Linked DNA regions of Mus musculus. The protein of the gene in region 2 interacts with the protein of the main gene of each other region in a biochemical or structural test. Links are inferred from orthologs where the notes say so. Each region holds a gene or a part of one and is shown on either strand. Other genes may lie near its edges. The genes, in order: Bik and Bcl2l2.

What was found.
Region 1: the proteins of Bcl2l2 (region 2) and Bik interact in a biophysical measurement, tested with the Homo sapiens proteins (2 studies listed by BioGRID and IntAct, with this or other methods). The link is inferred for Mus musculus from reciprocal best matches to the Homo sapiens genes BCL2L2 and BIK.

The regions. Positions count from the first base shown.
Region 1 is NC_000081.6:83,524,971-83,530,954, forward strand, and holds the start of Bik (bcl-2-interacting killer), read left to right. Parts: upstream 1-1,891; 5' UTR 1,892-1,966; intron 1,967-2,146; exon of another isoform or gene 2,147-2,277; coding exon of another isoform or gene 2,278-2,371; intron 2,372-5,370; exon of another isoform or gene 5,371-5,884; intron 5,885-5,947; exon of another isoform or gene 5,948-5,984.
Region 2 is NC_000080.6:54,881,953-54,887,870, reverse strand, and holds the start of Bcl2l2 (bcl-2-like protein 2), read right to left. Parts: upstream 4,447-5,918; 5' UTR 4,365-4,446; exon of another isoform or gene 4,167-4,364; intron 4,075-4,166; 5' UTR 3,987-4,074; intron 3,521-3,986; exon of another isoform or gene 3,498-3,520; 5' UTR 3,490-3,497; coding exon 3,058-3,489; intron 2,488-3,057; coding exon 2,338-2,487; 3' UTR 1-2,337. UniProt on the Homo sapiens protein: Promotes cell survival. Blocks dexamethasone-induced apoptosis. Mediates survival of postmitotic Sertoli cells by suppressing death-promoting activity of BAX.

The DNA.
Region 1 (5,984 bases), on a different chromosome or scaffold from region 2:
CTACATGGTGAAGGAGAAAACTGACCTCTGAGGGTTGTCTTCTGACCTTCACACACATAGTCCCCTCTCCAACAGAATGAATGAATAAATGTTTCAAAAGAAGGGAAGAGAAGAGCAAATGTGAGCCCTGGGGACAGAAGGTGGCGGTCCCCATTGTCACCACTTGTATTACTTCTTGCATCTGACCCAATTATGGAGCACTAACAGGAAGGCGCACTCTTATTTAAGTGATTTTGCCCCATTTCCCTTCATTTGTCTCTCTTTCTTTTAATTTATTTTAGACAGGGTCTCTTGTACCCCAGGCTCTCCTGGAACTCACTGGAAAACTGTGTATGTAGCCTTGAACGCCTTGGCCTCCCGGCTTCAACTTCCCAAACCTGAGATGACAGGGGTATCAACACACCCAGTTTTTCTTTGTAATTTGAGACATGGATTCTCAGCCTGGTGGTAGTAGTGGTTGGTGCATGCTTTTAAACCCAGCACTAGGGAGGCTGGGGCTGGCACATCTCTGTGAGTTCCAGAAAAGCCAGGGCTACACAGAGAAGCCCTGTCTTGAAAAAGCAAACGAACAAATAAACAAACCCCTCCAAATAATGAATTCTTGCTATATTGCCCGGAACCTACCCAACTTCCTAGTCTCCCCAGCGGCAGGCCGTTCAGGGATTGAGTCACTGTGCTAGCCTCCCATTTGATCAGCCTGTTGCCTTGGGGATCTTGCAGGCTAAATATTTTCACTCACCCCCTCCCCTGGGCCCCTAAGTCCCCATCTGACCTCAAACTGGCCTCCTTCCTCCACCTTGTCTACTGTTTACAGAACGCATCTGCTGACCGGTCAGGTCTTTCTGGACTGTGAGACCCCTTGTCACTGCCTCTCTTCTCTCAGTCTCAATTTTCTGCAAATTCATCTGCAAAATGTATTGGCAGAGAGGCTTCAAGGTCCCCTGCCCCCAACTCCAGGTTGTGACAATCCCTGATGGCTAATGGCCAAAGATCAGGGTTCAATTTGCTTCTGGGCTTGGAGGTGACAGAAGGACCACAGAACTGGAAAGATCTGAGTGGCAGGATTGGAAGGCCTCTAAGATTAAATTCTGCCGAGGACCTTCTAACATGTGGGGGGAGGGGCTGCCTTCCCGTGTCAGGAGAAGATTTAAGGAACCCCAAATATCACCACCCCTCTCCTGACAGGAGAGGGAAGAGTCCAGCTGACTACTTGACAAAGCACGCAGTAGGAGGCACCTGCCCCAGATTCTGACCTCTGCTATCCCGAGAGGAGCTGACTTGGGATAAACAAGTTTTGTTGTTGTATAGATAGTGGTTACTTTGTAATTCGGCCAGTGCTCCATCTTTACTCACCTCGGAGCCCCTGCTCCAGGGCACTGGAGACTGAACTCCTCCCACTTCACCTGTAATTCTAGATTTCACCTCCTACCGATCCTCTCCTTCACCCTAAGTCTTCGCCAAAAGGAGGGCTGGGAGAGCTCCCTATACACCGGGAGAGAAGAGAGAGGGGAAAGGGGGAGATTTGGAGGTGCAGTGCGGAACTTGTAGCAGGCGGGAGCAAAGGGAAGCCACAGAAGCACCAAGCCTTTAGGAGTACTATGAGGACCAAGTAGACAGCCCTTGCTAAGGTTTGGCCGCGGCGATGGCAGAGGCGGCGTCTGCGGAAAGCACACTCGCAGACGCACTGGCGGGGACACAGTAGCAGGTCTACAGGCGACAGAGGAATGTCTGCAAGCTAACGACTTTAAAACAGGGGTTCTGTAGCTACTTATTGGGACCGGGGATTTGGAGCCCCGGAGGGAGGAGTTAAAGGGGCGGGACGGGGAGGGCGCGGCCACCTATCAGGGTCCAGCCCGCCGCTCACAATAACCCGCCTCCAGCCAGCGCCCCCGACTCCGCCACCGGCGTCCCAGCCGAGAGGGTGTTCGGGCAGTTCGCCCGCCGCTACGCCAGCTCAGCTTGGCAGGTAAGCGTCTTGCAGCCCTAGCCCAAGTTGCTGGAAAGTTGGGGACCCGTGCCCAAATCCCTCGGTGGCCCCGGCTCTGAAACGTCCCCTCTGCGTCTGACACCCCAGAAGGTGCTAGTCTGGTCCGCGTGTCTCGCTGTGCGTCCATGCACTGGGGTGGCCCTTGTGTCCTGGTTCTAGGGCGCGCTGAGCAAGTGGCCTTCGTTGTCGCTGTGCCCTGGTTGTCGAAAACTTAGGGGGAGCAGCTTGAGACCAGGGCGCGGCACTGCCACAGTAGGGCGGCCAGGCTGAGCCCGGGCCGCAGGCGGAAGATGGCGTCGGCACCTGTCTCCGCGAGGACCGGAGAGTTCGCATCTGTCCCTCCCTCGGGGATCCTGGGATTCGCACCGTCCCTGCCGCGACCTGGTAATTCACACCTGTTCCCGACAGAATCCAGCTTCGCATCTGTCCTCTCTGGGACCCGGGGATATAGGTCTTCGAGGGGCAGCAGAAGGGCCTTCTTAGGCGACCTGGGTAGTTCAGACCATCATTTCCCCGAAGCTCCTAGCCACCTGCCTGCGCCCAGGCGCAGGGACTGGGAGTGCATCCGAGGGGCCGGCAAGGTCGCCGGTGTACCAGCCACAACCAGCACTGGGGGTTCAATACTTGTGTCACTTTTCCACCTTGTGGCCTTCAGGATGCGGATGCAGGTTGTTTTATAAACTTAATTGCTGTTCTGAAGTGTACTGAACCACCCCTACAAAGTGTTGTTTATTGTTGTTGGCGTTGATGCAGGTGATAACACTGTTACAGGGGTTTGGAGCCAGCTGCAGCTCTCAAGAAGGCTGGTCTCCTACCTACTTTGGGGGATGGGGGAGTTGTCAGTGAACCTTAATTTTAACCTCAGGGAAGCAGGCCTCATTTCAGATAGGCTTATGTCCCAACAGCTACATAGAGCTGGCTCCTTCAAAGCCTGGAGGGCTTTCTTAGAGGCCACACCAACCTCTCTACCTGTGACCTACTTTCTGTTCTGACTGTGTAGCTTTCTACAGGCTCCTCCACCATTCTGGACCTCAGTTTGTTGAGTTTGTAAACTGCGTTGTGGTTTAGCCTGGTGGGGAGGGACCTTTCCCAAGAAGTGGCTGAGTAGCTCGGCAATGCTACCTTGATTTCCACTAGGTTGGGGCATGTTTACTGTTGCTCCTTTACAAGTATACACCTAAGGGTCACCTGGGGTCCTTGGCTGCTTTTGGATCTAGTGTCCTGCCTAGGGCAGGTGGCACTCGTGACCTCCCAGCCTTGCCCCTCCCCACATCTCTCACTCCACCCTGCCAATTTTCTCCCCTCTATACTCCAGGATTTGAGACTTTCTTTGTTTTGTTTTGAGGCAAAGTTTCATGTAGCCTAGGCTGGCCCCCAGCTCACTATGTAGCTGAGGATGGTCTTGAAACTCCTGATTCTCTTACCTTCACCACCTGAGTTCTAGGATTCCAGGTATAGTTACTGTATCCAGGTTATTTGTAGCTGGGGATGGAACTCACAGCTCTGTGTATACTACCATTGTTTTCTTAAGTAAGGCCTCACTATGTAGCAGAGGCTAGCCTCGCATTCTCAATCCTTCGGTTTGCTTCCCTAGTGCTGACTTTTAGTCTGCTTTCTGTTGCTAATAAGATACAGTGCATTGGGTTGGGTTATAAAGAAGTAAAATTTATTCTGGCTTGTGATTCATGTGGGGTTGAGGGCCATCTTGGGTGACTCCCTTTTGTTGGCAGAAGACATACATTGTACATTTTACCCACCTCTCAAAGGTCCGGCCTCTAAACCCCACAGTGAGGTTGAGTTTCCCCTTTAAATACCTCACAAGGGGATTAAATGTCAACACCCCAATCTTTGGAGACCCCCAGGTCATATCTAACTACAGCGCCTCCCCTTCAAAGTCACAGAGCTGCTGTTTCTCAGTTGTTCCTCCAGAGTTAGGTTTTAAAGGTTGTCTGTGCTTTGCTCTTTTTCTATTTCGGAGACAGGGTCTCACACTTTATAGCCCAGGCTGTCTTTGAACTCTCAATTCTCCTGCCTCTGAGATCCTGGGGTTATGGGTCTTTATTGCTTATTTTTTAACTTTCTTAACTCAAAATGTGCACCTTTGCCAGAGGATGCTGGCTCTCATCCCGAGCTGGAAAACGCAGTGTGTCATTTTTCAACTTGGTGACAGGCTCATTTAACTTATCTTCTAAGCTGAACCCTAGTTAGCATTTTAAAGTTAGCTAGATCTGTTTTGTTTCCAGATCTGGGGATGGGACCCTGGGCTTTGTGTATTTTAAGCAACAGGGGGCCAAGAAGCAAGCAGGCCGCCTGGCTTACTTGGGGCATGGGATGCTGAAGGCTCAGTAAAGGGTCTAGGTAAGAGCCCAACACCACCAGAAGGAAGGAAGAGGATGGGGTCCACCTCCCAGAGGAGCCCAGACAACTCTAGTACTTCCTCCTCAGGCTCAAACATTCCAGAGCATATGAAGAACGTAGAAGCTGAAAGGGGAGGAGGTAGCTTGCTACTCTGGCCTTCTGTGATGGAGCTACTCTCCTGTCACAGTTGATCCTTTTTTGTAGCACTGGGAGGTTTATAAGGGGTCATCGGAGTGATACATCCCTGGCCTTTCATCTTCTGATGTCTTTGCTCAGTTGACATTTCTCTGACAACCCCTCCATGTCCACCCTTCCTGACATCTCACCCATTATTTGTTCTGTCCTATGCCCTTGGCTGTCTGAAATAATCTCATGTATTCGTAGCCTGCATGTTCTGTGAGACAAGGAACATCAAATTTTAGGTTCCTGGTGCCCATCATAGCCTGAACTCTCTCTGGATGGAGGGCTTACCTGCATGCTGGTCACTGTAAGGTGGTTGATATACAGTAATGAAATCACTGCTGGATTCGCTGAGAGCAAAGAAACCAGAGCTTGTGGACTGGAGATGTAGCTCAGTTGGTAGAGCGGCGGGATAACACACACAGATTCCTGGGTTCAGCTCCCAGGACCGCATATGCCAGGGGTGGAGGCCAACACTCGGAAGGAAGCAAAAGTTCAAGGTCATTCATTCTTGGCTGCATATTGAGTTGGAGGCCAATGTAGAAAACAGGAGACCCTGCCTTGAAAGAAAAGTCACAGGGTACATACAGTTTGCCATCTTGTCTTATTATGTTCCTTTCCCACCTCTCTTAGTAGAAGGGCAGGGGTATTTGGAAGGCCATATTGACTAGTGAGTCTTCAAGCTGTCCTGCCACACTGCCACAGACAGAATCCCCCCCACCCCCCGGAAAGCATCCTGTTTTCAGTGAGTTGGTTACATTTGTGGACAATTAATGACCCTTGCTTCCTCTGCGGCTGACTGAGTGAATCCTGCCAGAGAAATCACTGTTTTGCTCTCTGCCTAGAACAATTCGGAAGCTGTTTCAAGGAAGTGCCGAACGATGCCCGGCTTTTGTTGGGAGTGGCCACCAGGAAGCCAGCAGCAGGTCTGGACTGGACATGTGTGGCTGCTTCCTTTCTCCTACCCTTGGTTGGCTGAAGCCAAGCCTCAGAGAAAAGTGTCAGCAAATGCGTCCCGGGCAGGCGGGAGAGGGCAGGGCGCAGGGTGGCATGGAGAGGGCAGCTGATTTACCTAGTGTCAACACTGAGTTGTGACAATACAAAACACCCTCTGGGCACTGCCAAGGAAACCTGTTTTTCAGGAGATGGGAGAAAATGTGGTGCCCAGTTACCCGACCTGAGAGGAGGCTCACCATGCTCGGGAGGGGAGTGAAGGAGAACCTACTTGGCCGTCTGGTGGAAGGCTGGGTGCTGGAGACCACTCCAGGGTCCTCCACACAGGGGCATGGTCCCCCCTTGTCCCCGTGAACTGCTCATTCTTGCTGTTTTGCAGAGGACTTTCCCTGGGCAGACAGACAGGTAAACATTTACTGAGGCCATAAAGAGCCAAGTGCCCTATCCAAGTCAGCTGACCCGAGGTGCTGGGACAGCAGAGCCAGGAGCAGTGGAATTCTGTCCT
Region 2 (5,918 bases):
ATATCCATTTCCCTCATTTAAAAAAAATGAAATGGATTTAAAAGTTGGGAGCCATACTCAGCCTTCTTGGCCAAGAGCTAATCCCAAGGAACTATATGGCTCTAAAAGACAGTCCCTGGTTTTCCCTGACAGAAGAGTCTCTGGGTTTCCACTGGCCCTTAAAACGAAGGGCAGAACAGGTCACAACTCTCCACTGTGGTCCCATCTAAGCTTCTGAGAATCCAGACCAAGACCAACCCTTTAGCCTGTCCTAGCACAGCCTCTCCTCCCACCTGGCTGAAGGTCTGCTAGCAGAGCATGTTGGTAACCTGACCCTGGTTCCTGCTGCTCCTGTTTGCTAAAGGGCCCCAGGAATGCTACCTTAGGTAGGTGTCCCATGGGAAGGGTAGAGCAGAGACTTCCCTGGACGTGGAGGAGCACAGGCTCCAGATGGAGCTGATGGTCTAGTCAGTGGTTTTCTAACTTTTTTCAGCAGCAAAGCCCTTACCACAAATAAAATCTTACCCTGAACCCCGATACATAAGACAGCTACAAGGGGGAGCTGTTCTGTTTGAGGGCAAACTGCCCAGCCCTCCACTCCCTCATCTCCCTAAGGACTCCTGAGGCAACCCCTAGGACACTTCGGGGCTCTGCCAAGCAGTTTGAAAACCACTGGCCTAGTTTGTCCTGAGCAAGTCAGAGCCTCCCACTCTGACTGCTTGTCACAGACAGCTCCGAGTCTCTTAGATCATCACCCTCAAAACAGACCAACTGGCACATGCAGCCTCCCACATCCCCCATAGACACTATGAAAAAGTGCAACCTTCTCTCAAAAGCCAAAGTCTGGACTAAAACACCTGAGGCCAATTTGGTCCCACATTCTAGCAAGCACGATATGATGCCACATTCTAGGACCAAGTGAAGAGGTGGGTCAGCTGTGGTCTAGCCAAGCTGGTCAGTGCTCAGGAGAGGCAGGTAGGGTTCTAGAGCACTGGGAACGAAGTCAGCATTAAAGAGCAGCAATGTTAGCACCTTGGGAAGTGCAGCAGTGAGGTCTGGCTCAGGGCATGCATTTGGAGTGAATCATTTCCTCCCTCAAAAGAAAAGGCTAGAGTCTGGATTTGTTCTAGGGGACTGGACTGTGAGTTCTAATGTGACCATCTTCAGAGACTCGAGTGTTGACAACCTATGCAAAGAGCATGGCTTCAAAAGAAAACGCGTTAGGTCATGGCAGGTACTCTAGAACCCATATCCCTGGCCCCTGATAGAGCAGCAGCACCAAAAACCCACCACCCAGAACAGGCCAGTCAAGGAGTACCTGTCCCCATCACTCCCAAGGGACTCAGAGCTGGAATGGTCCTCTCAAGGTATCCGCAGTCTCACTGAGACAGTTCAGGAACTAAACTGAATTGTAGATCAGCATTTATGCCCGTATCTTCTAAAGGAAAACTAGATCCCCAATTTAGACTCAGCTGGATAGAGAGACCCTAGAAACAGGCAACACTTTAGGCACCATTGTGCCACCGTTGGAGGGGAAGGTGACAGGCAAGTCCAACTACCAAAGCTTCTACCCACCCAGGCTCCACAGCCTTACCCTTTTTCAGCCCAGGTGCACAGATGCACACAACAGGGGGATGATGAAGAACAAGGCCAGCTGCAGAACTCTTCTCTCCAAAGCCCTGCCAACAACTCTCGGCAGCACCAGAGCCCTAGTCTAGATACAGTGTTCCTCCCTCAGCCTGGAGGCGTAAGGTCAAGGGAAGGGGCAGAGAGGAGAAGGGCAGTGAACTGGCCCTTGTTCTTGCCATAGCAAGAAGGAATGTTTTCTCTAAGTACCCCACCACCAGATTCGACAGACAGCCCAGCATGCACATGAGCATGCTTGCATGTGCACATACATGCACAGGTGTGCCCATGCAGCCCACAGCCACAGCCATTTCACCCAGTCACCTGATCACCAAGCTTCCATCCCAAAGGGAAGTGAATTCTAGGCTCCCTAAATCCCATTCATCTAGTCGAGACACAGATCTTTGAAGTAAGCTCACCGTCCTTGGAGCTACAAGCCATGTTCCGGGTAGTTGTGTGCCCGCGATATGGGCATGATTCCTCCCACCTCCCCACCCCCACCCCCCAAGCCGTGGGATGACTCCACTCTCTGGGTTCTTGGCCTTGAAACATTCCTTAATGTTTCCAACTCATTCTCCCTGCCACCTGCCTGGCATGCTGGGCTCCCACACACACTACCTTCCCCTGCCTTTCTCTGTTCCGTGACCATCCAGTTTCTTCCAAGGGCATTCGCTATTGTTCCAGCTCTCCTGGCCCCTAGCCACACCTAGCCCCACCTGGCCCTAGACTTTCTCACTTGCTAGCAAAAAAGGCCCCTACAGTTACCAGGGCCCCCAGTGCCACGGCCCCCGTCAGCACTGTCCTCACTGATGCCCAGTTCCCCTCCCGCAGACGCCGTGCCTCCTCCAGGGCCCCGTCCCCGTATAGAGCTGTGAACTCCGCCTGTGGGAGAGAAGGGAAGTAGAGAAAGGAGAAAGGGAGATCAGGAAAGGATAGTGGAGAGACGAGGGAAGGAAGAGTTCCAGTTCCATCCACTGTGAGCACTGCCCCCATCCCCAGCTGCTCCAGCCGAAGCTCTACTGCACACAAGCCCCTCCGAACCCCGTTCCTGGCTCCTCTGCACTGTCTACGTGATGTCAGCCCCATCCCTTCCATGGCAATAAAGTTCCGTTCAGAACTGGCATCCTTTGCTAAGGCTTGCCTAGCCATGACCCATCCCTGACCGGCCTCACCACCCATACTATGTACGCAGGGGTCACAATTATTCGCTGAAGGTTCTCTGTTTATAAAACTCTATATTCAGTCTTCTGCTTGGGACCGTGAAGCCCATCCAGCTACTACTACATGGTAGCCCTGGAGTACTGTGAGCTTGATGCTCTCAGTCTGATTCCACTTAAATAAGGGAACTCAGCCCTTCCCAGCACAACCCCAGCCTCCCATCAGAGGCCCTATTTTCCCATGAAGACCAACTTTGTAGAGGGATGCGGAGAGCAGCAATTGAGAACTTCTTACCCAGCCCCCACTGCTGTGGATCCAGTCAGCCAGACGTGTCTCCAGGTAGGCCACCATCCAATCCTGCACTTGTCCCACCAAAGGCTCCATTTCTTTGTTGACACTCTCAGCACACAGGGCAGCCCCAAAGACAAAGAATGCCACAAGACGGCCCCAGTTAGGGCCCCCTTGGAAAAGTTCGTCGGAAACCTGGGTGAAGCGTTGCTGGGCTGAGCCTGGGGTCACGTGTAGCTGAGCGGCCAGGTCAGAGAAGGTGCGGCGGAAACGGGTCTCAAACTCGTCTCCAGCAGCCCGCATGGCTTGGTGCAGCGGGTCGGCGGCTGGGCCTTCCCCAGGGCCAGCTCCACAGACATAACCCTTCTGCCTCAGCTTATAGCCTACAAAGTCAGCCACTAGAGCCCGTGTGTCTGGGGTTGAGGCTGGGGTCGCCATCCGGGCGGCTGAAAGGGGCAAGGATGACAGACTGACATAAATATAAGGAAATTATTGACAGAGAGCAAGAAGGGACATTTCCTATTTGATCAAGCTCCTGAGATAGGTGAAATGCTCAGAGGCACTGGGCAGGGCCAAGAAAGAGCAACGGATTTAAGTCATGGGGAGGTTCAGAGCATAAGCAGCTGGCCACGTATAACATGTCAAATTAAGTGTGCAACAGGAAATCTTATTTTTAGACTACTTCAGATTCCTTTCATACGACAGCACCAGCTGTATGCCACCTCTATACACACACACACACACACACACACACACACACACACACACACACACACACACACCCCTTTTTGGCTATAGGAAGGGGCTTAAGACCTCCCCAGGAGCATGATGCGAAGATGTTGGCAGAGGCACAAGATAGGGAGGAGACAGGGGCTGAATAGGAAGATGGGAAAAGCCAAGGGCTGTAATGGGGCAGAAAGGAAGAGGACACTTACCCAGCCTGGATGGCAGCTCTTAGGACCCAGTGCTGGTGGCAGGGAGCCCCCAGCTGAGGCCTTTCATCCTCCCGGCTAGAGTGGAGCCCTGAAAAGGGGAGGGAGAGAGAACTAGGTGGGAAAGGCCTGGGTCTGGCCCGGAAAGAACTGGAACTGCAGCGCCTGGGACTGGGCCCCTACCTCCAAAGCTTTGCCAGCTGTGGGACCGATTCCGTGTTTAATGACTGCCCTCTTGGGAAACCCGGGACCACGGGCTTCCTGCCGACACCATCTCTATTCCCGGTACCCCCAAGAGCAGCCCAAAGGCCCAGCTCCTCCCATTCCCCCACCCTTAGCTGGTCTCCAACCCCGCCCGCCAGCCAGGTTAAGGAATCTCACGGGTCAGGCCGCAGCCGGGATCCGGAATCCGGTTGTTTCCTGGTGGAGGAGCTGGGAGGGAGGGAGGGAGGGAGGGAGAAAGGGAGGAAGGGAAGGAAGGAAGGAGGGAGGAGGGGAGGGCAGGGAGGGAGGGCCCGGCGCCGGGTGATGATGGGACACAGAGATGCGTCCAGAGAGAGGGGCGGGGCTGGGAGGCAGGGCTGGGAAGAGCCACAACTCCAGGAAGAGAGGGCCATTGAAGGGCTGTTCAGAGGCCATAGTGACCTGTGCCGGCTGCCTGCGAAGCCCGCAGTGTCCCCAGAGAAACACACCGGGCCTCAGCAGCTCAGTGCAAATTCAGCATTTCCGGAAGGTCTCTTCTGTTCACGCACTTGTTGAACTTTCCAGCTTGGATTGCGTGCCTAGGAAAAGCAGAGCAGTTCCTATTAAGCTGGGAACAACCTCTTGCCCTTGTGGGGCTAGTAGAAACACTAAACACAAAAATACTTCCCCTCAGGACCTTTAATGCAGTGGGCTCTTCCTTGGCTGGAGTTTCAGCTAGGTATCAAGGTGTCAGGCCTTGGTTTACAGTGTCCACAAGCAATCTTCATCTTTTGTAATCAGATTGATTTTCTTTTCATTTGTTACCCACCACAGGAGTTAATTCTTACTATTTAAAACAAAAATCAAACAATAAAAGGCACAAATTGATACAAGCTTACTAATCTTACACACCCTCTCTAAATACAGGTTACCAATGTTGGGTTAATACCTGTTTTACAGATTACATATATCTATAATTTACATGTGAATATCTACATTCACATATACATGGATTATATATACATTTATCCATACACATATGTTTATATAAATATGTGCTTTTATATATACACATACAATATAAATATGTTTATAAGTATAAATATATATGTTATATATAATTTATAAATGTATCAATATACATATAAATATAAAGTATATCAGTATAGTATATGTAAATATTTTTATATTTTTATATATTCCATATACATATTTATAATATACACATATATGTATATATAATATACATATATCTATTTATATGTGCATTTATGTATATATATATATGTAAAAATATGTATATATAAAAACCGAGTGTGTGTGTATTTTGAAACATGGTTTCTTCTCTGTGTAGCCCTGGCTGCCCTGGAACTCACTTCTATAGAGCAGGCTGGCCTCGATCTCACAGGGATTGGCCTGCCTCTGCCTCAGACACTATGGGATTAAAGGCCCGAGGCACCACTATCCAGCATGTGATAATATCTTTCTGTAGAGCAAGTTTCCAGGGCAAGAAGCTTTCTGACTACAGCAGATCCACAGGAGGGCACTCATCAGTGTGCTGATCCTCCCACCTCTCCCCCCACCCAGGACTCCTGAAGGTTGCCATTTCTTCAGCTCTGGAACTCCAGTTAAGGCCAGAAAGAGGCAACCCAATTATGCTTCTTTCCTTCAGTTCTTTCTTGTTACTTCCCCTTGCTTCTCCCACTAAACCTTGATGTTCCCACTTGTCTGTGTGGTCACCGGAGAAGCCAC